2 linked regions of the Medicago truncatula genome follow. The protein of the gene in region 2 interacts with the protein of the main gene of each other region in a pairwise test. Links are inferred from orthologs where the notes say so. Each region holds a gene or a part of one and is shown on either strand. Other genes may lie near its edges. The genes, in order: clathrin interactor EPSIN 1 and clathrin heavy chain 1.

What was found.
Region 1: the proteins of clathrin heavy chain 1 (region 2) and clathrin interactor EPSIN 1 interact in binary tests that used the Arabidopsis thaliana proteins (3 or more experiments, as listed by UniProt). The link is inferred for Medicago truncatula from reciprocal best matches to the Arabidopsis thaliana genes AT3G11130 and AT5G11710.

The regions. Positions count from the first base shown.
Region 1 is NC_053042.1:4,646,449-4,659,045, forward strand, and holds clathrin interactor EPSIN 1, read right to left. Parts: upstream 6,739-12,597; 5' UTR 6,601-6,738; coding exon 6,560-6,600; intron 6,438-6,559; coding exon 6,386-6,437; intron 5,202-6,385; coding exon 5,122-5,201; intron 4,992-5,121; coding exon 4,913-4,991; intron 4,792-4,912; coding exon 4,708-4,791; intron 4,594-4,707; coding exon 4,448-4,593; intron 4,338-4,447; coding exon 4,095-4,337; intron 3,014-4,094; coding exon 2,889-3,013; intron 2,530-2,888; coding exon 2,336-2,529; intron 1,598-2,335; coding exon 1,219-1,597; intron 773-1,218; coding exon 549-772; 3' UTR 259-548; downstream 1-258. UniProt on the Arabidopsis thaliana protein: May have a role in transport via clathrin-coated vesicles from the trans-Golgi network to endosomes. Stimulates clathrin assembly. Does not seem to bind to phospholipids.
Region 2 is NC_053044.1:35,324,826-35,338,327, reverse strand, and holds the start of clathrin heavy chain 1, read right to left. Parts: upstream 6,276-13,502; 5' UTR 6,070-6,275; coding exon 6,022-6,069; intron 5,719-6,021; coding exon 5,514-5,718; intron 4,457-5,513; coding exon 4,368-4,456; intron 4,252-4,367; coding exon 4,173-4,251; intron 4,032-4,172; coding exon 3,904-4,031; intron 3,472-3,903; coding exon 3,373-3,471; intron 3,265-3,372; coding exon 3,156-3,264; intron 1,963-3,155; coding exon 1,883-1,962; intron 1,805-1,882; coding exon 1,577-1,804; intron 1,490-1,576; coding exon 1,424-1,489; intron 578-1,423; coding exon 461-577; intron 292-460; coding exon 94-291; intron 1-93. Other genes in the region: 60S ribosomal protein L10a-1, read right to left, coding at 12,567-12,620, 13,093-13,298. UniProt on the Arabidopsis thaliana protein: Clathrin is the major protein of the polyhedral coat of coated pits and vesicles. Mediates endocytosis and is required for a correct polar distribution of PIN auxin transporters.

The sequences.
Region 1 (12,597 bases), on a different chromosome or scaffold from region 2:
TCCACAACTACTCCTAGTCCTAGCAAGATGCTTGTTATGGGACAATACAGGGAAGATACAAATTATGACTCAAAGCGCCTCTCATTCTTGCAAGTCAGTAGGGCAATGTTCTTGAATCACTGCTGCAATTAACAGAACATGACCGGATGACATTAATTCCAACTTCAAGGGGAGGAGATGATCGCCTAGCCCTCTAGGTAGTTTTCGGCGGTCAACATACAACATTAAAAGAATGAGAAAGACCGGAACAAAGGAAGGTGAAGGCAACCACACATTTTACAACATAAAGCAGTATCACAAGCTATTTGGGTACTTCAGTTTGCTGGATCTTGTAATCAACATTAAAATGCAACAGTAGCATGAATTTAAGATAATATAATCACAATAGTGATAGGAAATTGCTATTCCTACCTTTCTTGGATACAAAATAGAGAGAAATATATATTAACAAAATCCACCATGCCAAAAAGCTCAGCAATCTTGATAAAGCCGACACACAAAGAATGAGTGAAAATGTGATGGAATGAGTATACAATTTGTGAATTTTTTTACTTCTGGAACCCACCAAATTGATAGTTTTGGCCACCGAAGTTTGAAAATATGTCATCTCCAGCTGTTGACTGTGAAGGAGTGCCACCATACATACCAAGACCGGATCCTGTACCCATAGCTCTCCCCATGTATAATGTAGTTGGAGGGCCTTTCTCCCTTTCATCTAATCCATCACTTAATCCACCCACAATTCCAACATCGACAAGGGATACTTTTTTGGCTGCAAAATAATATAAGATAATTACATAAGTAACCAAAATAATTGGCATATTACATATTTCACGAGTGCATCATATAACAGAATGACTCGTGATATTGCACATACATGAGGAAACAATGGGGAAGTGGACGACTACACTAGTTCACCAAGATCCTCCTACCAAATTCATGTACTTAATCTAAAGCAAGGATAACGCATACTACAATGTAATGCATTAATCACCCTGAAACACAAGATTGAATCCCAAAAGGCTAAAACCCTAAATAAATAAATTATGTTTCAATGTAATCATGGAAGAAAAGGACCATGCAACTACATATTTAAAACATGCAGTTGCAAGCTTTTTTCGGGTGAAAACATGCAGGTACGGGATATAAAGCATTAACTCAACACAGAACATATTATGCAGTGGAAAAGCTGTTAAAGTAATCAGCATAAAAACTTACGAGCAGATATATTGAGGTCAATCAATCCACGGCTTAGTGAATCAGCCCAAATGCCAGACTTCACCTGAAAAGCATCCTTTTTAGGCGAAACATTAGAGTCTGTTACAGATTTACCACTTGTACTACCATCGGTGGCAGCATTCGTTGAGGGCTGAGAAGATACAGAATCAGATTGAGAAGTAAAATCACCAAAAACATCAGATCCCTCAAAATTATTAAGTGGAACAGAAGCAAAGGGATCAAAAGTGCTGTTATTCACAGGAACAGAGTTTTCCGACTTGCTGTCAGGCTGCACAGCTGGTGAAGGAATGGAAAACAAGTCAACTGTTGGTGTAACTGAAGGAATGGCTGGTTGTGAAGAGAAAAGATCCACTTCATCCTGAGCATGGAATCAACAAGATACACACAAGCGGAATTTTAGCACCGTGAATGAAAATGTGGAGAAAGAAGCGAAACAGGTAAATCCATAATTTTTACAACATCTAACAAAGCAACAACCAAATTTTCCCCTACTAGGTGGGTTCGACCGCATAAATCCAACGACGACGTAATATCTTGTTATGAATTAAGTCCAATGATGGATCATTCATTCTAAATCTGTTTTATTGGTTTGGGCTATAAGTTTGCATGTTATCTCCTCTATCTTCAACTACTGGAGTATCCACCATCCTCCATCTAGTCTAGTCTTTGTATTTCTACATCCCTTCTAAAGTCTAAAAAACGTCCAAACTCGTTATTATCTCAAATGAATTGTGATCACAATTTAATAAGCTGAATAATTTTCCTCACATGCAATTAATACACCCATGTGAAAATTTATCAACACCAATATTTCTAATGTTCTCCTCCAAAGACAATTCCAGTCTCAAAATACTAGTTCAGTTATAATTCATAATAAGAATATACCAATAATATTCACATCGATGGAGTAAAGTGCAGTTAAACAATCCCATTCATATTGGCAACATTCATACTTTTGGAGCACCAATGAATGTGGCAATTTAAGGTTGTAAGATAGAACCTACTTAATGATGGAGATTCATGCCATTAAACAGGTAATTGGTAGCTGAAATTAAAAAAAAAACGGCAACACAAATTATTGCTAATGAAGTCTAACCTGTGGTTGAGAACTAGCTCCTTTGTCCGCATGTGGTGCTGCTGAAACAAATGATGCATCCGCAAAGAGATCAACATCTGACACATTACTAGTTGCTGGCTTTTCTACAGAAACAGATGTTGGAGCATCCATGAAGTCACCGAGCAAATCTTGTCCAAAGAGATCAACCTGGTTTGAGCTTCCAGCTGAAGTCTCTGTTTGAAGGAAGGAAAAAAAAAATACAATTTATTAGGTAAAAGTCCTGTCCTTGAAATCAAAATACATAGTCAATTGTTCAATTTGATTTTTCTTCCGTTTTTCTGGCGGCCCTGGAGTTGTAACACTTAAGGAGAATAAATTGAATTGCGAAAGCTTCTGTGTGAATGCTTCAGAATACAATAAATTACTAGTTGTAACACTAGTAAGTATTCTGAACACTTAAAATAAGAGCAACCCGGTGCACTGAAGCTCCCGCATAGGCAGGGTCCGGGAAGGGGTCCCACCATTTGGTGATTGTTCTTGTCCTTAAGCGATGTTCCTCAATTTATTGTCCTTAAGTGTTCAGAATACTTACTACTAGATGTTCCTCTCGGATCAAAATCATCAAAGTCGTCCTCAGTAGGTACACTTGCACTTTGAGAAGGAACTGCATTAGCAGATGACTTTGATGCTCTAGAAGATTTGTTCTCCTGACTTTTGCTGCAAGGAAGACACTCTGGAATAAGAATATGGGCAACAGAATAGAATCATTGCAGTATGGAGAGGCAGAAGCATGTGCCTTTCTGTGCATAAAAACCAAAGCAGGTGCAAGTAAAAAGATGAGTTGAGATAAGCATCTCAAGTTCTCAACCATTTACCCAAACTCCTGCTTAATTTTTTCCAAGTCAAAATAAGCTTGTTGAACTAGGCAATGAGGATCAAGAATCAAAGGTTTGAGTCTGGACATGTGTCCAGTGATGAGCATATAGTTGTATCATGCACAGGCCTGTCTTTGACTAGTTAAAGGCTTATTTCAGCTTTTATAGAATTTTTAGCAATTAGAAATCTTTCTTATGCTTATGGGCACTTCCCAACATTTTAATAGTAACAGTTTAATAGATCTACAAGATACATTTTCTTCTGCTAAAAATGACACATTTTCTTCTAAAGGAAAAGAGACCATAAAACCTATTAGAAAAAAATTACACTTAGTGCCCTGCTTATGTCAATATTATTTGAAGAAATGCTTTTCGGATGATAATTAATTTTCAAATAATAAGTTTCCTTTCTGAAGAACAGACATTAGAATCGAAATTTGAGCCTTCATTGGTGTCCAAGGTAAAGAAAGATAAAAAGTAAGCTCTAATTATAATGAAATTTAATATATTTGTTAGGATATGCAGACAAGAGAGTGCATGGCCATATGGTTAATGACTGAATTATTTAGAAAGAAAAAAAATTCTATGAGACCAGCTAATGTACAAAAAGAAAGGTAAACTATTAAAAGCAAGTTATTAAAAAAACTAACAATTTCCTAAACTCCTTGGTAAATGGCTTCACTAGTTTAAAAACTTGGGGCACAACTAGACATACAGTAACGAATAAGGCGCATCAGAAAACAATGTACATGACAATACACACGGTAATAACTATATCTATGTAGTAAGTGCTACTGCTAAAGTAGTCACTAGATACTTCAGATTCAAACTTCCGAAGGATTATGTATGGCAAAACAATCCAACTATAGTATGGAACTACTGAACAAGCATAAAATACATTTACCATTATTTGCACGCCATACCTGACAGACCGAACAGAACCTTTTTTGAAGGAGTTCTCTTCATTTTTACTTGAGACACCATGCCGTGATTTTCCTGAGTAATCTTTGTCTATTTTTGCTTCATCATAGCGCCCCTTGTCTCCGTAGCTATCACTAAACCTATCACCACTTGAACCAAAACCTCCATATTTGTTACTGCTCCCACTACTAAATGAGGTTGTCCCGGATTTGTATGTCATTCCACTAGATGAAACTCCAACGTACCTAAATTAAGCACACCAAAAGAAAAACAAGAAAATTATTTGCTGAGAACATAATGGCAGCTTAGTTTACCTAATCACTATGGGATTGAAATATTGACAAATTTGACCTACTTGTCACGGTTTGCAGCAGCTTTATTTCTAATATCATGTATCTTTTCTCTATCATTCAAAAGGGCAACAATGTTTTCTGCCTTCTTCCTTACATTGAGTCCCACATCCTTCCCATTAGGCTCAACATATTCAAAGCTAGAAAGTGCCTTTACCAATAAAAGTAAATGGTGTTTATGTAAGAAATTTCTCTTATGATTTATTTGTAAGAACTGTTGAGAATTGCAAGAAAAACTAGCTAAATGCAAGAGAATGGCCCTTACAGAGATCTGAAAAGTATGTTCTATAATGTCGTCAACTGCACGTTCAGATCCATGTGATACCAAATACTCTATAACAGCTAATGCCTGACATCAAATAGAAAGAGAAGCGAGTTGATGTATCAACAAAGAAAATGCAACAAAACAAAACACTTCTCTTTGTACCTTAAAGTTTTAAGTAATAACATGGTTATTTAGATAATGTTACCTTGTATACATATCGCCAATCCTTTCCAGTTTCAGCCAATCTTGTCCAAAGAACATTCATAACCAGCTGACATTCAGTACTGGAAGGTACAGAAGAAGCAAATAAGCAATCAACTAACTTGCATCGGAAAATTTTCTCCATGAAAACCAAACGAAATTTTCAAAAATTAAAAAACAATATAAAAGGAAAAGCAGTAGGTAGATATTTACAATTTTTTGGTAGCAGTTGCAATCTCTGCCAGCACAGTACCATGAGGACCCCAAGGCTCATCGTCAGTTGCATCCAACACCTAAATTATAAATAGTGGCAGAAAAAATCAACAAAACAATACCAATGGAATGCAGATTGTGCGGTACTAGCATGGCAATCAATCCACATTCTTATTCTTCACTCATATACATAGTTATAAATATAAAATATTGTTCAATGATAACATGCTAAACACACTGCCTAAAGCAAAAGAAAAGAAAATCTTCAATACATTTTGAAATTCTCAATAAATAGAAAAGGAGCCTTGGCAAAATGGTTGGATTTGCTTCCATGTAAAAAAAAAATTAAAATCAAAAACATTGTTAACATGTGCAATTCCCTTTTATCAAGCATTACCGATATACTTTGAAATTTAAACATACACTCCACAGATTACATTTGCAGAGAAAGAATCAGGCAGAAAACATAAAATCTATTATTAAACTCAACAAAGGTTCTTAAAGTTTGTGATTGTATGAAAACAAGCAATTATGTAACAACTGTCTTGCATCAACAGATTATTCAAAAATCACGTGATAATATGCTGCCACGATCAATTTTCAGACTCAACAACAACCAAACCTTATCCCACTAAGTGGGGTCGGCTACATGGATCAAATTACACCATATTGTTCTATCACATATCATATATCTATCCAACTCATCAATCTATAAATCTTTCTTAATAGTTTTTCTATGTCTCTTTCTGCGTATAGTCAACAGTGATTTAACTACCCTCCATCTAATCTACTCTCTTTACTACAAAATCTACAGATCTTCTCTCTGCATGCCCAAACCCCCCTAAGATGAGTTTCCACCATCTTTTCTATAATGGATGCTACCCCAACTCTCTAATATTGTCATTTCTAATCCTATCTTGTCTAGTCTCACCGCACATTCAACGCAACATCCTCGTCTTTAACAAGCATTCCACAGTTTACATTTGCAGAGAAGGAATCAAACACAACATAAAATGTATTCTCAAACTGAACAAAGATTCTTAAAAGTTTATGATTCTATGAAAACAAGCATCAACAAATTATTCAAAAACTACGTTAAAATACGCTGCCGCAACCAATTCTCATACGATTTCAATTCAATTTGATTCGATTTCAAATACATGTAACAATCCTTATTGAGAAAAATATATTTATTAATCAATCAACACAATTCTTCAAAATATCAGAAATTTTAATGGAAATAAAATAAAAATTAGAATTTCACCTTCTGTTCGATTTCAGGAACCTTAAGCACCTTCAGATTCACCTCTCTCTTACTGTTATCAATCAAATATTCACAAATAAGAACGAAAATTGAAATATATTTCGAATTCGATAATTTAAAAAAAAAAATGAAAATTGAAATGCAAAAAAGGATGAATTGAAAATGTAACATTACATTTCTCGAACGGTTTGATCGAAGACTTTCATGAAATCCATGATGATTGATCTGTGTAGATCTGATCTGAAGGGAAAGGTTATGTAGCTTTGTGTTAATTGAGGCGAAATTCGATGGGTTCTGTTGCTGTGATATCTAAGATTTCAGATCTATTTCTTTCTTCTTTTTTTTTTTTACACATTGTTGTATGGATTTAATTGATATGCACCGTCGGTGTAAAACTAGATATACACCGTCAGTGTAAAACTAACTGTGCATTCCCATTAAACTCCAGTTACAATTTTTTAACCATCTAAAGTTTGGACTAGTAATTATTACACTTAGAAATCAAAATCGGTTTTTTTAAAATGATATATCTTTAATAAAATTTATTAATTATTTGAACTCAGTCGCTTGATTCTTTCTATTATAAGTTTGATTCCCTTAATTTTACACTTACGAAATTGGTTTACCAATTTTGGTTTCTCACTCAATGATGACGATGTAGATCACCTACATGTATTAATTATATACATGTTATTGACTAAGTTGCAAAAATGAATAATTTTCCAGTTTGAGAATGAAGTTTTTTAAAAGATGTTCTTTGTAATCACATGAGTGTTAATCATTCTAAGCCATTGTATTGTATGTTGTATAATTTAAAATATTTGACATCTTCGCTTTTTAGTCCCAAATATATGACTAATGGACCAAAACTTGTTAGATTTAAAGAGTTAATTTATGCGGAGATGAAAATTGAATCAAGACCATAATAACTTTACCTACAATGTTAACTCCTTCATCTGTCACCAAGCCAGCTATAACTCATATGACATCATTATTTTGAAAAAAATGATTGTACTCTATTGCAAAAAAGAGTGTTATAAACACTTTTTTTTTCTTTCTAAAACTTGCTTTTAAGGGATTCCATCTATATTTTTATTTTTTCTTTTATATCTTGAACATTTGGATTAGAAATATAGTATAGTATTATTTTAGCCTAAATTGAACATGTTTTAATTTTATTTTGTTGGTTTTAAAAATGGTACTTATAAGTTATAACAATTTGATTAGGCTTTTCTAAACAAAAAAAAAACAATTTGATTTGGCTAAATACATCTTAAGGTCTATTAAGTTTAATGTTTGAAATTAGATTCAGCATTTTAGTTTTTTTAGTTAGTTAGTCATTTATGTTAGTAAAGTTTTTTTTGACATAGTCTTTAAGTCATAAAATATACTATCTCCGTTCCTAATTATAAAAAAAAATTGAGAATTTTTTTTATCCCTTTTTATAAGACACCTTTGATATTTTCAAGTACATTAACTATTACTTTACATACATGTCCATATTTATTATACATCTTTTTCTTCAACTAGCAATAAATAATATGTTGAAAACATAAACTAACTCTATCTCTTATAGGATAAAATTATAAAAACAATAGTGATTACAAACAATATTAATGCAAATATCTACTTTCTTAATTCTCGTGATTTTAGCAAAAGGATCTTATACAAAGGTCTTAACTACCCTCTCCCAATTGAAATCATTTAAAAAAGTATTAACATGGACGTTAATTGTTAAGTTACGTTGGTTGGTCAAAATTTACAGCTCTCAAAACTAAGAACCATAAGTGTATTATTCAATCTTAGTTTAAAATAAAAATAGATCAAGTACTTGATTATAATGTTTATAATGAAATATTTATCAGTAAAATTAGGATTGATTCGGAAAACAATGAAAAAAAAAATGCATGTAAGTAATCATATTTGGTGTCATAAGTTTTTTTTTTTTACCTTCCACCTTAATGTTTAATGGCTATGTAAGAATTTTATAACAAAGTTAGATGTCAATTTATTACCAATTTTTTCAAAAGACTAACTTGTTTTTTTTATATATATATAAATATCTAATTTAAAACTAAAAAAACTAAATCGACTAATCTAATATAAACGTTAAACTTAAAAGACTCTCAGATGTATTTGAACATTTGATTGTTTATTAAATTGTCGTGTCACAAGCTAGGTTTTAAATGTACATCGCCTCATCATGTAGAAAGCAACATTAAATAAATATTTAAAATAAAGTGTTGTGTACTAGTGTTATTCATATTAAAATTTTCATTCATGGTAATTTTAAAAAAAAAAACATTTCAAATGTTTAATATTATTATAATCTATTTTTAGTGTATAATTATGTAATAATGAATTTTCACAAATGTATGAATATGTTTTAATGTAAAATTATATACAAATTCATTCATGTCAAATATTCATTCATATGAGTTATCTTATCTTAGTACTCTTAAATGGGAAAAAAACAAACTCGCTGCTCTTAGAGCTCGTTTGATGTTCTTGATAGGGAGACCAGATATGATAACACTATCATATTCTACTTAAATCTCTTGTTTGATGCACCAATAGAAAATGATAAATTAAATGTATCACTAAACCTATCATGCGTGTGTTTATTTTCTATTACTCTAAACCCCCTTCGACTCCTCATTTTCTGCAACTTTTCTCTTCATGTAATTTTTTAAGGATATTTTAGTTTTTTTTTTCTCCTTATTCGATTCTTCAGTTTTTTTATACCCAATCTCTAGAACCGTTTTTCCCCTATTTTTTTTAAAGATTTTTTGCTTTATTGTTTCTTCATATATTTTTTCTATCGCTACTATGATTAAATCAATCCAAAGTCAAATGTTTCTTTCTTTCCTTTTGTCGAATTTCTATATTTGTGTTATTTTATTTCACACAAATAGGCTTATATTCTCAATACATGCCTTTATTTCGACATACTTATCAAAGAAATCAATTCCTTTAACATTTTACAAAATGGTAAAGATCTTTAATCGTTCAGGATAAAAGTTTATTTGCAACAAAGCTACGAATTCGCAAATAGACCATAGTTTTGTAAGTAAAACTTCAATAAATATAATTGCTTGCCCCCAAACATTGATATTAACAAGTTTGTTGTAACGCCCTATTTTATTATTTATTTACTTTAATTGAGTTTAGATGTCTTTTTATAATTTAGTCGATTTATTTTGATGAGTGATATTTTGTTATGTTATATGTTGGTATATATTAGTATAAAATATTATGTTATTTGGTGTGGAAATATATATGTTATGTGGTGTAGAAATATATTTGTTATTTGGTGTAGAAATATATATGTGGTGTAGAAATATGTTTGTTATTTGGTGTAGAAATATATATGTTATCTGGTGTATAAATATATTTGTTATTTGGTGAATAAATATATATGTTATAGAAATATATTTGTTATAGAGATATATTTGTTATTTGTTATAGAAATATTTTATATTATATTATATATGGGATAGGATCAAATGACACCATGGTGTCAAAATTAGTTTGACACCAAATTTCATCCATTCATCACATTTAATTCAAAGGTTTAAAACTATCCACAAAATAATTCTCCTACACCAATTTTTCCCTTTAACATCTAATTAAGAAAAAAAGGAAAACATTTATTGTCATAAATTCATTATCAATCATTTTTTTCTCTCATTTTTTTATTATTACTTTTTTTTTTTCATTGAGCATTGTCATATTGAACGAAGAGATTGACAAAAGAAAAGTAAGCATATAACATGTGCAGTTTTTAAAAAATAAAAAACTAATTTGGCCATTATTTGTGGAAATCATGACTGTGCAGTTGTGAAAATCAACGGACAACATACACTCATGCATTTCGTCTTTTTTACTGTTCGTAGCAACCATCGTTACCCTTTTTTATTACTTTACATTTTTTCTTCAAAAAAAAAAAAATTTGTTTTAATTTTTTTTTTAGAAGACATTGAAGCTTACTGTTGTTGAGGTAATTAAGCTTAAACAATATGATCAGTGATAAAATAATCTAATTAGCAACAATTTTTGAGAGGTTAGATAGCAACAATGGTGAAAGAAAAAGAATCATTTTGGTCTTTTGATTGAATATGTAATTTTTTTAATGCAATTTATATAATTATCCGTGGTGATGACTGAATCCAATCAACCATAATCATGATTTTTTTTTAAGACTAAGTAAGAATAATAAGTAGTAAAAATGGGGAAAAGAGGAAAGGATTGATAATGAATTTATAATAAAGATTTTTTTTTAATTAGGTGATAAAGAGAGAAATTGGTGTAGGAGAATTATACAAGGATAGCTTTAAACCTTTGGATTAAATATAATGAATGGATGAGATTTGGTGTCAAACTAATTTTGACACCATGGTGTCATTTGATCCTATCCCATTATATATATATATATTATGATAGAATATTGAGACTTTGAGGACATATTTGGAAATAAGAGAAAATAAGTAGGTTAAGGATTTATATAAAGGGGGGATAGTTAGAATTAGAAAATAAGGATTACGTGAAACCTGTTTTTGGCGAAAAAGTGAGAAAACCAAGAGAAGAGAATAGAATAGTCAGAGGAGAGAAAGCGGTAGAGTCCTTCGTCGATCAATCTAAGGTAAGGGTGAGACTAACTTTCTCTAATTCTAAGAGGTATAATTCTGAAAATCGAATTTAACAAGTTGTAGGTTGTAGTTTTGGGAATTAGATTTAGAAGTTGTAATTGGTTGATTTAAGAGTAGATAATCCGATGAATTAGGTTGATAATTTGTGATTTTCTGAAATAATGTTTTGGGTCAAGTTTTATATGGTTTTCAGACTCTTTTGATGTATATAAATGTTTTGACAAACTTTGGGATCAAATTTGGGCATAGGGAAGTTAAAATTGGGATTTTGGGATGAAAAATGGGTTTTTCCCGAGTTGCTCTCTGACAGCACGTCCTCTTTCATGTTCTTGCGTCTTTTTCACACGTTTCTGTTTTGAATTGGCCTTTGGTGTAAACATGAAAGTTGTAGATAATTGAGTTAGCTTTCCAGTGGCTTTGGTTTGACGTGAAAATGATTTTTGGTTCTTGAGATATGATGAAAATACTCCAAGGAGGTCTTAGTGAAATCTTATGAAAATTCAACATAACCGTTTCTAAGTTAATCCAAAACTTAAGGAATAATTTCAAACCTCAAAACTAGAAGTAATATAGGTTCAACTAGGGTGCTTAAGAGTATTTAACCTATGTTGTGATGGATCTAATTTGGTTTGACGTGAATATCTTTGTTGGATAATTTGAAATACATATATTATGTGAATATTGTTGTTGAATAATTTGAGTTACATATATTTATGTGGAAAAGGTATGATATAGAAACTAATGTTGTTATACCATTCAAGTTGTTATTATTAATGATGCTATGTTGTGAAATTGTTGTATGTTGTTGTCTCTGCTGTATTGATTATTAAATCATTAAGTTGCATATGTTGATCGAGTTGTTAAAGTTGTAAGTTGTTGTCAATTTCGTTAAAGTTGTAAGTTGTTGTCGATGTCGTTGAAGTTGTTGGTTGTCGCTGCATTAGTTGTTGAGTCCATGCATACTCATTTACGTTGAGGGCTTGATGCCCTGTGAGCTTTTGCTCTTTAAGTTGAGGGCTTGATGCCCTAGGAGTGTATTTATGCTCAATACGTTGAGGGCTTGATGCCCTGTGAGCTTTTGCTCTTTAAGTTGAGGGCTTGATGCTTTGGGAGTGTACTTATGCTTAATATGTTGGGGGCTTGATGCCCTGGATTGATACCACATGCATGATTAAGAAGTCGAAGTTGCATTGTCGAGTCAAAGTCGTTGTTGATGAGTTGTTAAGTTGATGATGAGTTGTTAAGTTGTTGAGTTGTCTTCTATCCACGTGTTGTTAATGAAGTGCTTATGAAGATTATATGATTTTGTTTATGATATTGATTATGATGTTATGATGTTGTTTATGATGTGTTGTTTATGTTGTTATAAGATTATGTATATGATGTGTTGTTTATGTTGTTATAAGATGATGATGTTTATGATGTGTTGTCTATGATGTTATAAGATGATGTTTATGATGTGTTGTCTATGTTGTTATAAGATGATGTTTATGATGTATCGTTTATGTTGTTATAAGATGATGTTTATGATGTGAAGATTATGTCGTTATATGATGATGTTTA
Region 2 (13,502 bases):
GTGCCTTTAAGGCACTTGTTAGCATTTCCAATAAAAATAAATAATAAACAAATTTAAAACTTTCCGAAATTTCAAATGCAATGCAACCCCAACCTTAACAAGATCTCCAAGCTCCTCACTGCACTCAAGCTTGTCCTCGGCCAACCAATTCTCCAACAGATTTTTTTTGTTCTGATTCACAACAAGCCGTGACAGTTCGAGTGATTCAAAGGCATTCAGCTTTCCTCTAGTTAAAAGAGTTCCAAAATACTGCAACAATGGGGGAGTTTGCCCAGCTTGCACAGGAACACTCTGCAACATAGAACAGATTGTGAAACTGACCACTAGAATCTAATTTCCCAGAAAAATACGACAGCACAAGACAGTATGATTTCCTTCATCCCTCAAAATAAGTAAAGATGATTGTTTACAAAAAAATTGTTTTAGAAACAGTATGAACAAAATACTCCTATCAAAAAACCTGAAATTTGGCAACTGTATCGGGTGTACGAAGGATTCCTTGCGGAGACTCAGCAGCAAGCTCAGCTGCCTCTTTATACTTTGTTTGAGCAAATAGTTCATGGAAACGTTCTACTACCTGTATTGTCAACAAGAATGTGCTAATAAAAATAGAAACAAAAAAAATAAATACCAAAAGAAAGAAATTTTTTGAAAAGAGGCTAATGCATAATCCAAGATAACATTCAATTCCAATTAATTTGCAAATTACCAAAAAATTTAGCTAAAGAGGAACCACGGCACAACGATAAGAGTTGCCGCCATGTTGGTCAGCCTCTTATAAATACAATGCAAGGCTGCCTACGGTAGATCCATAAGGGGTCTGACCCTTGGACCCCACCCACATGGCGGGAGCTCAATAGCAATTGGTTTACCTTTTACCAAAATTATTAATCAAAAAATGCAAATATCATTAAAATAAAAAATAAAAAATAAAAAAACAGATTTCGAGCAGCTTAGCATTCAGGTCACCCACAGTGTGAATGTTTGGATTGGATTTGGCGGCATGTTTGACTAAACCACGGTAGCACCGTGATTTTGTTGAAGCTCCAAATGTAGCTTTTGACAAAATCGCGGACGCACAACGTTATTTCTCCAAACTCACTGTCGATCCAAACATACACAATCTTTCTTGTCATAAGCGTCTATCTTTTACAAGCATAAAAAATTGTCAAAGTAAAAGGTAGACACTGCAACGACATACAACAAAAGATCAGTAAGGAAAGGATATTTCTGCATTGATTTTTAATAACCTGCACTACCAAGTATTTATTAAAATATTGAACTTTCTACAGCAACCATGCACCCAAACTTCACGCAAGTTAGCACTTAGAAATTGTATGAAACCCAACCACGATTTCTAGCGACTTTCCTGACCACATCTAGCAAAGCAATATATTTATATATTAACTAGATATCAACATACCAACTTCTCAGCACCAGGAAGATTTCCTCTCTTGGCAAGATTAACTGCTAGCTCCAAATTGTTTAACTGTGATAATAACCAAAATAAATTAGTAACAATGCGTCTTTCTTTCCTCTTCACATTAAAGAAGTGATGAAAAGATCAGAAACATACTTGACCACTGACAAAATTCACAATTGTTTGCTCATTAACCGTAGCCAGTAACACCTGGCCTCTCCTGTTAATGGCATAAAAGCCTCCCACTGATGTAGCTTCTGACGTCAAAAATATAGGATCTGGACTGATTCTGTTCCTATAAACAGCAGTAGCCGTCTCCAAATCATAGACAAATAGAAGACCAAGTTTGGTAATCACATAAATCAAACTGTATTTGTGGGATATCTGCCAAAGCAACAAATTATGAATCAACTACCTGCACAGTTAACAAAAATGAACAACAAACACTAGCAACCCCCTTACCTGCATGGAAACTGGAAAATCATCAGCAAAATCAGGAGGAAAGAACAGATCTGCTTGTTTCTTTGTAAATGAAGGTTTCCCTGCCAACAAATTTGGAAAGTTAAATCCCAGAAGGATGATCAACTGAATTACAAATTGTAACATTATACAAATGATTTATTATTGAAGCAATATCCCGATCCATCTTTAAATGCCCACACTAATTTCAATAAACTGCTTTATGATTACATTGAAAGCCCGCAAGAAGTCAAATTTGTTACAATAAACATCATTCATACGTGAAGTAATCACTGGAGCATGGCCCGGCAACATAAGTTAAATTATTTAATTAACTAAAACTATTAGCAATGATGAGTAACCTCCTCCATATGTTTAGTCCACTGCATGATCACTTTGATTCATCAGTCCACAATTGAGTCTCATAATTATTCAGAAGTGAAGAATTTTAGATTGCAAGAAAAAATTTCTTCTTTGGGACATCTTTCAGAAAAGTTGGCAAGGTAGTTAAAATCGAGATTGTACACAAAATCGAAAAGGGGAAGTAAATTTGTACAATCGTAGTATTATACAAAACTCATACAATCGTAGTATATATATAAAAATAAAATTACATATAAGACAGAAAACTTCAAATCACACTTAAAGTACATATGTAAATTCAAATTCATTACCATCCTTTCATAGACAACAAATCTATATATAAAAGGGATGAGAAAGCTGATATGCTAGTTAAACTCTACTTATCGTTCTTTAGTTTATCTAGAGCGATTAAGTTAGCAAAACGGATTTCTCCGTCTTTGTTTGCTAGCATAACTGATCCTATGTCTGACGTTCACAAATCTATATATAAGTTTTAGAAAGGGGCATCCCTACCCCCTAAATTACAAGCTAGCGCGCAACGGCTTTTCGATAGTTTGAGGTTTGGAATCATAAGATTGTACGACTCAAATCGGGAATCCACCCAATTCCACAAAAAATAGGATTATATGTGAACTCCTAATCTTTAAGGGAAAACATGATCGCAAAATCGTAAGATTTTATGATTCAAATCAGGATTTTGACTATCATGAAGGTTAGTTTTCCCACATACCTCTACTAAATACAAGCTATGACCAATTTAAAATTTATATTTTCGTTTCACAGGGAAAAAAGCATGCTTCGAACTCAACATATGACAGCCAAATTGGCAATACAAGACAGATTTATCTTAAAGCCATACTACCCATAGATTAATTCGTAAGAGGTAAATGTGACAGCAAAAAGTTATACAGACCTGGCTGAGCACCCAGCTCAATGACATGCAACTTGGATATAACTTGACCGGCATTAACTGTCTTGGTGGCAAAAGAAATCAAAGTAGACGGATTTTCATTCCCAGGAACCTGTTAAAAAACAATTCAATATTGTCAGCATGTAATAAAACCATATAGTAGTGTACAGTTATTCAAGTAAATATTTAACAACAAAAATACATGCACAAAGAGACATACTTTAAATTGAGCAAATGAAGCCGCATGAGCTTCAAGAGCCTGGCTGCGCTGTTGTTCCACGGAGAATAGTTGCATGTTTCCTTTCACCAATTGTGGCCTCTATAATGCAAGAAGATATGAAGAAATAAACCAAACAAGAACAGGCTCATGAAAATTACAGTATAATAGATCATGATTGTTTTCAAGAACTAACTAATTTAATATATTAATATGTTGGTTTAAGTATAAATAGTTTCATATCTAACATGCCTCCTCATACACAAGTCTATTATTAGATTGCATTAAAATTCAATTTCTTATATAACAGGTGAAACAAGATCAAGTTCCCCACTAATAAATCAAGGAGGCCCTAATACAATTCTAAGAACCATTTGCCCAAAAGCTTATGTTGTTCAGTTTCATATCTAACATGTATCAAAAAAAATTACCGAAAATTCAGTCAATCAAAGTAGAGGAATGAGCTTAAAGTTGAAACTTGAGGAATATTTCACCATGATAACCAACTTAATATAACAAATACTAGAGATATACCTCAGGGGAACCAGGAGCAATACCAATCAAGACCAACCATTTTTCGGTAGGGTCACATCGATAATTAATTATTTGATTGTTTGCCAGATTTGCTGTTCTCTCAAACATCTTTACAGGTTCAGAGTCGCCTACAAGTTACATATATCACATACCAACATGCCAGTTAACAATTTGTAGACAAGCTAAAAGTGCACTGAAGAATAATCGACAAACTTGAAAACATATCACAAAACCATATTTAATTAAATTTTAGTTCATGCATATCTTACCTTCAATTGACCAGTGGTATACAGAAGTCTGTGTCACAAGACCCAACAACTTGGGGCTAATCCACTTCCAAAAGACTACCTACACATGAAACAAGGACATTTACAAGGATTAACAAAGTTGTATCTATCACTCATTAGTTTACAGTACATGCACAGTTTACAGTACATGCACACAGTATAACTATAGACAAATACCTGCTCAGGCATCTGATACGATTTCATCTTTGCTTTAAGTTCAATATTAAATATTTGTAAATGATCTTGAGTTGTTCCTTGGAGTTGAGCTTCAAGAGAAAAATGCACCTCATAAGTCAATATATTTCTAATTCCTAAATATACAAATGAGTGCACACAAAGAGAAGCAGATGAAATAATCAAATAAGAGTAAGACATTACATTATTTCCAAATGGTTGGACGAACATTAGGCTATCTTTAAAAAAATAAAAAAAATTATGCTATCTTAATTACAATCGTCTTTCTTTTTTATTACAATAGTTCTCATACACAAAAATAAGATATAAAAACAAATTTTTTGATTTTTTTCTCTTAATATATAATAGTTAAGGGAAATTCCACCCATCTCCCTTGAGATATGTTTAAATGCAACATATCCTCTCTATAACATAAAAACAGTGTTCCTCTATTCTGTAAAGGGTGTATTTTCAACAAATCTAGAAGAGGTGACTGCAATTTTCCAAACAAATACGAGTGGCGAGTATTCGATTAAAAAATGGAAGAGGGTCGTGTGTCATTTAAGCACGCATGACTGAAGTGTAATCTCCGGACATAATTTTGATTTCATACATAGAATTAAAACATAAGAATACAAATCGATTCGTTTTGTCAGGTCCGTCAAAGATCTATGCTTCACGGGTATGAAACCCTAGCAATCGGGATGCATAAAGCACATATCTAAAAGACTTTCTAGTCCGCTCCTAATTGAAGTCAATCGAATTAAAACTAAGTCGTTTTCGTTTAATAAAATAGTTGCATATATGGAAATGGGGTCTCGCGCCAAGGAAACGCGATATAGAAAGTTTTTTCGAAAAACCGCGGCACCATTCAATGCATTATAAATTTCAAAAACAACACTTTCAACTATTTTCCATGTTTGAGTGTAGTGGAAATCACATGCTATGGCAAAAACATCAAAACTTAAATTTTACATCTCCTAAGATATAAATAATAAATTTAAGCTCCTAATAAATATTGATCTTTACAACAATATACAAAATTCAAACCGATAACGAAATGTTCACAGCTATATAATCCACAACATTACCAGCTACAAACACAACTTACAAGTTCAAAACAAAAACAAAAAAGGAATAGTAGCAAACCTTTCAAAGCAAGAATTCTAGAATTAGGATTCATAAGAGCAGAATCAGCAGTAATAGGTCTCCTCAAAGGCTGATTTGGCATGTTCATATCAACAATAACCACGCTATTCTGCGGCGCAGTTTCTCGAACGCATATATACTTATCAGATTCCATCGTCACATGCGTGAATGTTATGTGCTGTGGATTAATCCCAATGCTTGGCAACTGAAATCACCACAAAATTCAAATCAGAAACAGATTCAACAACTTCACACTTAAAATCCAAACACTTAAGCAACAAAAACAACAAATCATTCAGATCTGAGCAAATTCATCGCAAATTCAACGTAAATTCAGCAGCAAAAAAAAAAAAAGTAACTTCATAATCAAACTAGAGTAATCAATTGGAAAATTATAATTGATCAAAGCTTATAAAAAGTAAATAAATTGATATAATCGTGAAAACAAGAGATGTTAGATTGTTGCTGATGAGTTAAAAAATGGAGTAATGAAGAAGAGAGGACTAACAGTGAGAGCTTCACGCATGAGGATCGGAGCGTTGGCGGCGGCCGCCATGGTGAAATGGATCGGAGATTGAGATCTACAGCGGTGGTTGAATCGGAGTTCAAATCAGTACAAGATCTGGAAACAGCTTGGACTCTCAGAGAGAGAGAGAAGAGAAATGAAAAAAGAAGAAGAAAAAGAGGTGCAAGTGACACTAATAAAGCGGGATTTAAGAAAGAGAGTGGATTTTTTAAGGAAAAGGAAAATGATGACAGTGGAGCAAAGATCTCGTTTTATTCACTAATGCGTTAATTAGGTAAAAAATTTAATTTGTTTTGTTGTGGAAAATAACATAATAACAGACTGGTGTGTATTAACACAGGAGACGTGTGTTACTTGTTGATGGCTTAGTTAGTACGTTTTGATTTTGTGACAGGTGAACTGGGTAATGGTCCAACTTATGTTAGAAAAAAAAAACATAAGTTGGCTTAGCAAGCAATTATGTTTTTTTTTATAAGGCGAAGACAATTGTACTTATGTAACTTTTTTTGAAGGAAAGTACTTATGTAACTTTGTTAAGCATGTACTTTGGTCCGATCAATGACATATGGTATTTTTATATTATTTTACTTTAAAATAAATGTAAATGTTAAAAAAATTGTCTAAAGATTATTTGTATGTAGTCAATCAAATTCAAAAGTATTTAAGAATTCACTTTTTTATAATTGTAATTTTGATCTTCTATTTTTATAAATTTTGATATCGATATTTAAAAAATTTATAGTTTTAAGGTGTGTTTTATATGCACAATCAAAACACAAAACAGCATATTTAAACACTTGTCAGTCAAACGCATCATTTATCAAGTTGTAATTCAACCGACAACAATTATTATTCATAATCAACAACAAAACATCGTCATTTATAATTCAACAATATTACATCAGTTCAACATTATGCACAAAGGATTGAAATACAACAAATATGACGGAACTTGACAACATTGTACAATATTACATCAAATATTTTAAAACTCAACATGACGTTAGATCTCTACTGACAATTTGGACACTTGTAGTTTGAACTAACTCAAAGATATTGTTTACTATCTTCGAACACCATCGAGACAGTCATGGATACTATAACGACACTGTCATTTAGCGTCTCTGCATGATAAACACTAGTTCCTTTGTCGTTATCATTTCAGACTAAGATATATGCATGGTACTTGTACACCAACATGACAAGTAATTGATTTTCATCAAGATGAACTTAATGTTGACTAAGTTCTGTCTTCAACTCATCTAATTTGTCTATGGGGGTTAAAAAAATTGTAATTGTCCTCTTGAAAGTTTCATATCAGACATGACTTTCAACTTTCTCATCATGAGAGATAATTCACTTGACATAAGTAAATACAAGAGAAAAGGCTAATTGTTCAAATTGAGCCTATAAAACATACTTAGTCTGAAAAACTACTTTCTAATAAATAAAAAAACATAGATTCTACCCCTAAAATTTTAAATTTTTTCTATTTTTGACCTTCTATTTTTTTTCTCTATAGACATAAAGTCCAGAAAAGCAACCTAAAGATCGTTTTTCTTTTTTTATGTTTTTTTTAAGGCAGGCTTACGACGTTAAAATATGCCTTTCCACATAAAATTAGAATTTTCCAACAAATGATAGATTAAATATTAATTTTCAAAGCACCAAAAATGTTAAAACAAAACAACAACAACTGAAATACCAATCTAGAAATCAAATTTTGAGTATGTTTTTCGCATACATCTCTATAAAAATACATGCTCTCTCCCAAATTGTAAGCAAAAAATAATAATCACACTTATTAAGAAAACTAAAACATAAGAAGTTGGAGTATAGTTTTTTGTATTTTCTTTGGAAAAAGTTTTATAGGAATATGCAAAAACAATTTTCATTGACTATTGGTTGTGGAGAAAATGAATGAGAGATAAACAAAAGTTTGTATTGGCAAATATGATTTTTTTTAAAAAAAACAAGATTAAATAGGATAAAAGTTTGTATTTTTTGCTTACATTTTGGGACAAAAAAATGAGTTTTTTTTTTTTGCTTACATTTTAGGATAGAGGGAGTATAAAATTAGATCGGCAAAATTTAGTAGCATAATTTTTATGATTTTCAACCACTACGTGCAAAATTGTAATTCTTTTTCGAGTATACATATACTCAGAGGTGAAATTATGTTTCCGACTTTTGAGACATAAATAAAACATCATAGGAACCTTCACCACAGGATGTTCAAACGAGGGATGAATGGATTATTTAAGTAATTCATGATTAATTTCTCACTCGTTTAAAAATTTAAAAATTTAGTGGCGACGGTTCTTATGATGCACTCCCTCTGGTCACATTTATAAGTAAATGACAACTTTTTAGGTTCATTGAATAATTAATGTATTTGGTCTATAAATATGACTAAATACATTAATTATTCAATGAACCTAATTATTATTTTTTTGCTTATAAATGTGATCAGAGGGAGTAGTAAACATGATAACAAGATTCAGGAACAAGATTTGACCGTGATTTTATGCTTATTCGGAGCAAAATTGTAATTTTGCACTTTTGGTTATGAAATTAAAAAAAAAAATCAAGGCATAGATGGAACACAGCAAAACTTTGATGATCCAATCTGTGTATTTTTATAGAGGTTTTTTGCGAAAAATCAACTCAAACTTCAATTTCTAGGTTGAGATTTCCATTGTTTATTTTTGAGTTTTTGCGCTTTAAAAATTCATAATTAATTCGTCTCATGTCATGAAATCTAATTTTATGTGGAAAATCGTTCGTATTTTAACGTCTTAAACATATCTGAAAAATATTATGAACATTCAATTTTTGGGTTCTTTTATTATAGGGGTAGAATATGTGTTTTCTTTTATTATAGAGTCATTTTCCAAACTTCGCGTACATTATAGGGTCAATTTATATATACAATTAACCCCAAGAAAAAAAAATATCATACTGAAATGAAAGAAACTATAAAATGAAGGGTTAATATGTCTTTACCCCCTGTAATATATGACACTTTTGATTTTGCCCCCTGTAATTTATTTTTTTTAGATTTCGTCGTTGTAAAATAAAGATTCCCCTGAGCCTTTGAGTCAGCAGAATCTCTGACGTGGCAACTACGTGGCTTTTTCTTTTTTATTTATTTTTTGACTGCCACGCGTAAAAAGCAATTTACACGTCATTAATAATTAAAAAAATATGAAAATTAATTTTCAACAATTTTAAAAAACAAATTAATTAGGAAATTTTATTTTTTTTAAACTTAGAAAAAATCTCAAATTTAATATTTTTCGAATATTTCAAAAAATTATAAAATAAGGAAGAAAAAGATTCTAAAATATCCAAATATAAATTAAGAAACTTCAAAAATTATAATATTATCTAATATTTTTTTTTTTTATAATTAAGTTTCAGAATATATTTTTTAAATATTCCTAATTTCGTAAAAAATTTGATTTTTTTTAATTTCAAAAAAGATTTCATAAAAATTCAGAAATAAAACTGTCGAAAAAATCTGAAATCTTTTCTAAATTTAAATTTTTTGAAAAAAAAAACTGAAATTCAGATTTTCAATTGAATTTAAAAAAATTATATTCAGAATTTAAAAAATCTTCAAAATTTCATAAATTTGAATTCTCGAACAATATTTCAAGATTTTATAAAAAAATTCAAAAAAAAATCTAAAGTTAGGATTTTAAATATTTAAATAAAATTGTATCGTTTCCAGATTATATAATTGGAATTTAAAAACATTTATATCCAGATTTTTAAAAATTAAAATATTTTCCAGAATTTTTATTTTTTATAGAAAAAAAATTAAAATAAACTTTTTTATTTCGAAAAAAATCTAAATGTTTTTTAATTTTTGAAATTTTATTCGATTTGAAAAAATAATTAGAATTATTTCAGATTTGTTAAAATTTTTAAGAATTAATTTTCTGATTTTTTTTTAATTTTTTAAATATAAATGACATGTAAACTATTTTTACGAATTCTTTTTTGATTTCAAAAAATAAAAAAATTCATTTTTTTTCTAAAATTAGGAAGGATTTTAAAAAAAATTATGGAACTTCATTTTCAAAATAAAAATTTCAATTATTTTTCAAATTTTTGAAAAATAATTTTTTTCTTATTTTTAAAAATTAATTAAAAACAATTAAAAAATATTTTTTGTTTTTTAAAAAGAATATTTTTTTAATTATAAATGACGTGTAAATTCTTTTTTACACGTGGCATCCAAAAAAAATTGAAAAATAAAAAAAATGCCAATATTGTCTTCCTAGACAATCTACAAGTCATTGAACTGCTATAAGTCTGAGTTATCTTAAAGTTCATGATTACCATTCCGTTAGAGAAATTCAACACTACATGTTCCTCAATACTCCAACAATTATGGTTCTTAAACCCCGGTCTCTAACTTCGTGGTTACGTTGCGACTCTGCTTTTGCCACTTACTATCTTCTTTCACCATTCCTTCTAGTTTCTAGTTGTTGGTTCCTCTTTAGGGTGGATCTATATGAACTTATTCTTAAATTGCTTAATTAATGGTTGCGTGAAATAAAATATTGATTAAAATTTCGGATTTTTCAATGTTTAGAATTATACCATTAAATAAGTTTGTAAACTTGCATCTACGGCGTACATCTTCTCACCCTTTATATTCTCATACTCTTCCTTTTTCAATGGAGTAGATGATTACAAGTACATATGAGAGTGCTACTAAAAGCATCCACAATGGTAGTTCTTTAATAAAGACTCCTTAAATGGATCTCACGTTAGAGATCACTTATATGTAATATTTTAATAAAAGTATATATTAAGGACTCAATGACTCCAATAAAAGTACACTAATAAGAACTCTAATAAAAAATACTTAAATAGATCCCACTAACTTTACATCATTAAACAAAAATAATTTATTTATTAAATTATAAATTACCTCATAATATTTTAATTATAATCCTTAAAAAAAAATTAAATTATAAAAAAAATTATTTATTCGAATGAACTTAAATTTCTGGCACATTTGCTAATAATTTGAAAATGGAAAAATTAACGGTACGTGGTGGATATGAATCACACAACTAAGCCTCTGTTCAATTGATATCAAAAGAAAGCGTTAAATAAATATATGCTAGAGATAACTTTTCCTCTCTTCACTCATTTCCTTGTTGGATACTATCAGTGGAAAGCAGTCCAACTCCTCTGGAAATGACAGCCAACTGGAGTCTGGAACCAGCAAACACTTAGGAGAGGCGAAACCCTATCTTCTCTCTTTAAGTAGGTAAACCTGAGTTTAGAGCCACCTCGATTCGGAACACCAACCGAATCCTAAACTGACTTCAGAACAGATTACAAATAGATAACTTTACATTCTTAAAAAAAAAGATACATTTCTTCGTTAATAAATAATTTGCATGAATTACATTTTATTTAAACTGATGACAAATAGATAAAATAATATTTAAAACAATTATTAATTATTAAAATATATTTTCTTTTGTAAATGGAACCAAATAATACATATTTTATTACTTCTTTTAAACGATTACTCTTTTTTTTTTTCCTCTTAATGATCGTTAAGTGGAGATAGGAGATATAGTTGCTCATTCATTAATGAAAACTCATTTTTATTACTTCTTTTAAACGTGAGACCCGTTAATAGCTCAAGATATATGGTCCTTGTATAGTTGCCCATTCATTAATGAGGACTCATTTTTTATTTCTTTAATGGAGGATCCTTAACAAGGAGTGATCACCGTTAAGTAAGGACTAAGAACTTCCCATTGGAGATGCTGTAAATGATCCAGGCAGTACTGTTACCTTCTTTCGTCCAATTAAAATTTATCGTAGTAACAAGTCTTGTATTCTCGATTAAAAAAAAAACAAGTCTTGTATTTATAATGCTTCAATTAAGATATTTTTTAAGTTGTATATGTTGAAGTTGAACGGTAAAAAATCGAACCATAGTTAACTATCAATGGAGGCAAAAACAACATTTCTATGTGTTTTTAAGAAAAACTTAATGTGAGAAAAACAATTTTCTAAATTTTATCTCAACATTTATTTGCAAATAATTTTGCATTAAATACTTAAACTGGTCTGGAAGCAATGAAAATTGCCACCACAAGACACTTAAAATAGGGGTTCAATCTATAGTATATCAAGGTTCTTAAAACAAAACAAAATGGCAACCTTAATTCAGGGTTATTTTAGCATGCATGGTTATCTTTCACACTTGCGTGTATCTTCAGTTCATCTCCCATGATTCGCTGAAAGATTTGTTCATTTCATTGTAACAAGATGAGTAGCACAAAAAATAACAATCATCAGGAAATGAGAAGCACAAAAAGTAGCACGACTAACATTATCAAATATTCAAACATAAAAACAACAATTTAACAATAAATAATCCAGCAAAATTGTAACAAGACGAAGTTTCTATCAAGCTATTCGGACAAATGTATTGAAGGAGATGACTGACTTAAATATTGAAAAAAGATAGGAAATAAGTTCCCTTAAAAGACACGGTAAGATTTTCCCATTGAACTCTTCAGATACAAGCACCGAACCTGAAATCAAGAGTAGGTTATATTAGATAAATGTCTGGTTCATTCATACTGAATATTCCTAGGATATTGAAGAAACAACAAAAAATAGCAGTAGAGTTTAAAGAATAAGCCCGTAAATCAGTGTTAAAAAATTTCAACTAGGGAACTAGCATACACTCTAAAGTTATCGTAGCAAACACATTCAACATGATGCAAATCAAAAAAGCAATTGTCAAACCACTTATCCCTAATTTGAGGTCAAATTTTGTACACAGATACTACAGCAATTCAAGGAATAAAAATAAAGGAAACATGTGTGCGGATGAAAGAAAGCATGTTAGGTTGCAGGCACAAACGATGCAGAGCATCATGCTACCATTTCACCGGACGGCATCTAAGAAATCATACTTTCTTGTAACTTACAAAATAAAGGTAAAATAGAAGCAAACAGAGCAATGAGTTTAGGCAATGATGAAATAAAAGGAACACTCACATTCTGCCAGTTCTTTTTCAACAAGGAGACAAGGAAGTTAACACTGAGTTGAACATTTTGAAAGATTTGCTTTTCATCCATGCTAACATTACCCACAGCTACTCCCATACAGAGCACCTTCTTAAGCTGAAATTTCACCATAGCTTTTGTCTCATTGACCTTTCCCTCGAGAGATTCTTGGTGAGAGACAAGTGTTGGGAACTTCCCTGTAAAGTAATGCATGCAAAACATAAATCTCAACAACTTAAGCCATAATTAAATTCTGAAATCTTAAGGACGGAATAAAATATATTTTTCGAACAAGGCAATTCATTAAAAGAAACACTTAGAAGGATATGAATAAGATATCAAAAGATGGTATAGTACTTCATAGATTTTTAGGAAACTAGTACTTTAAAATCAAAAGATTT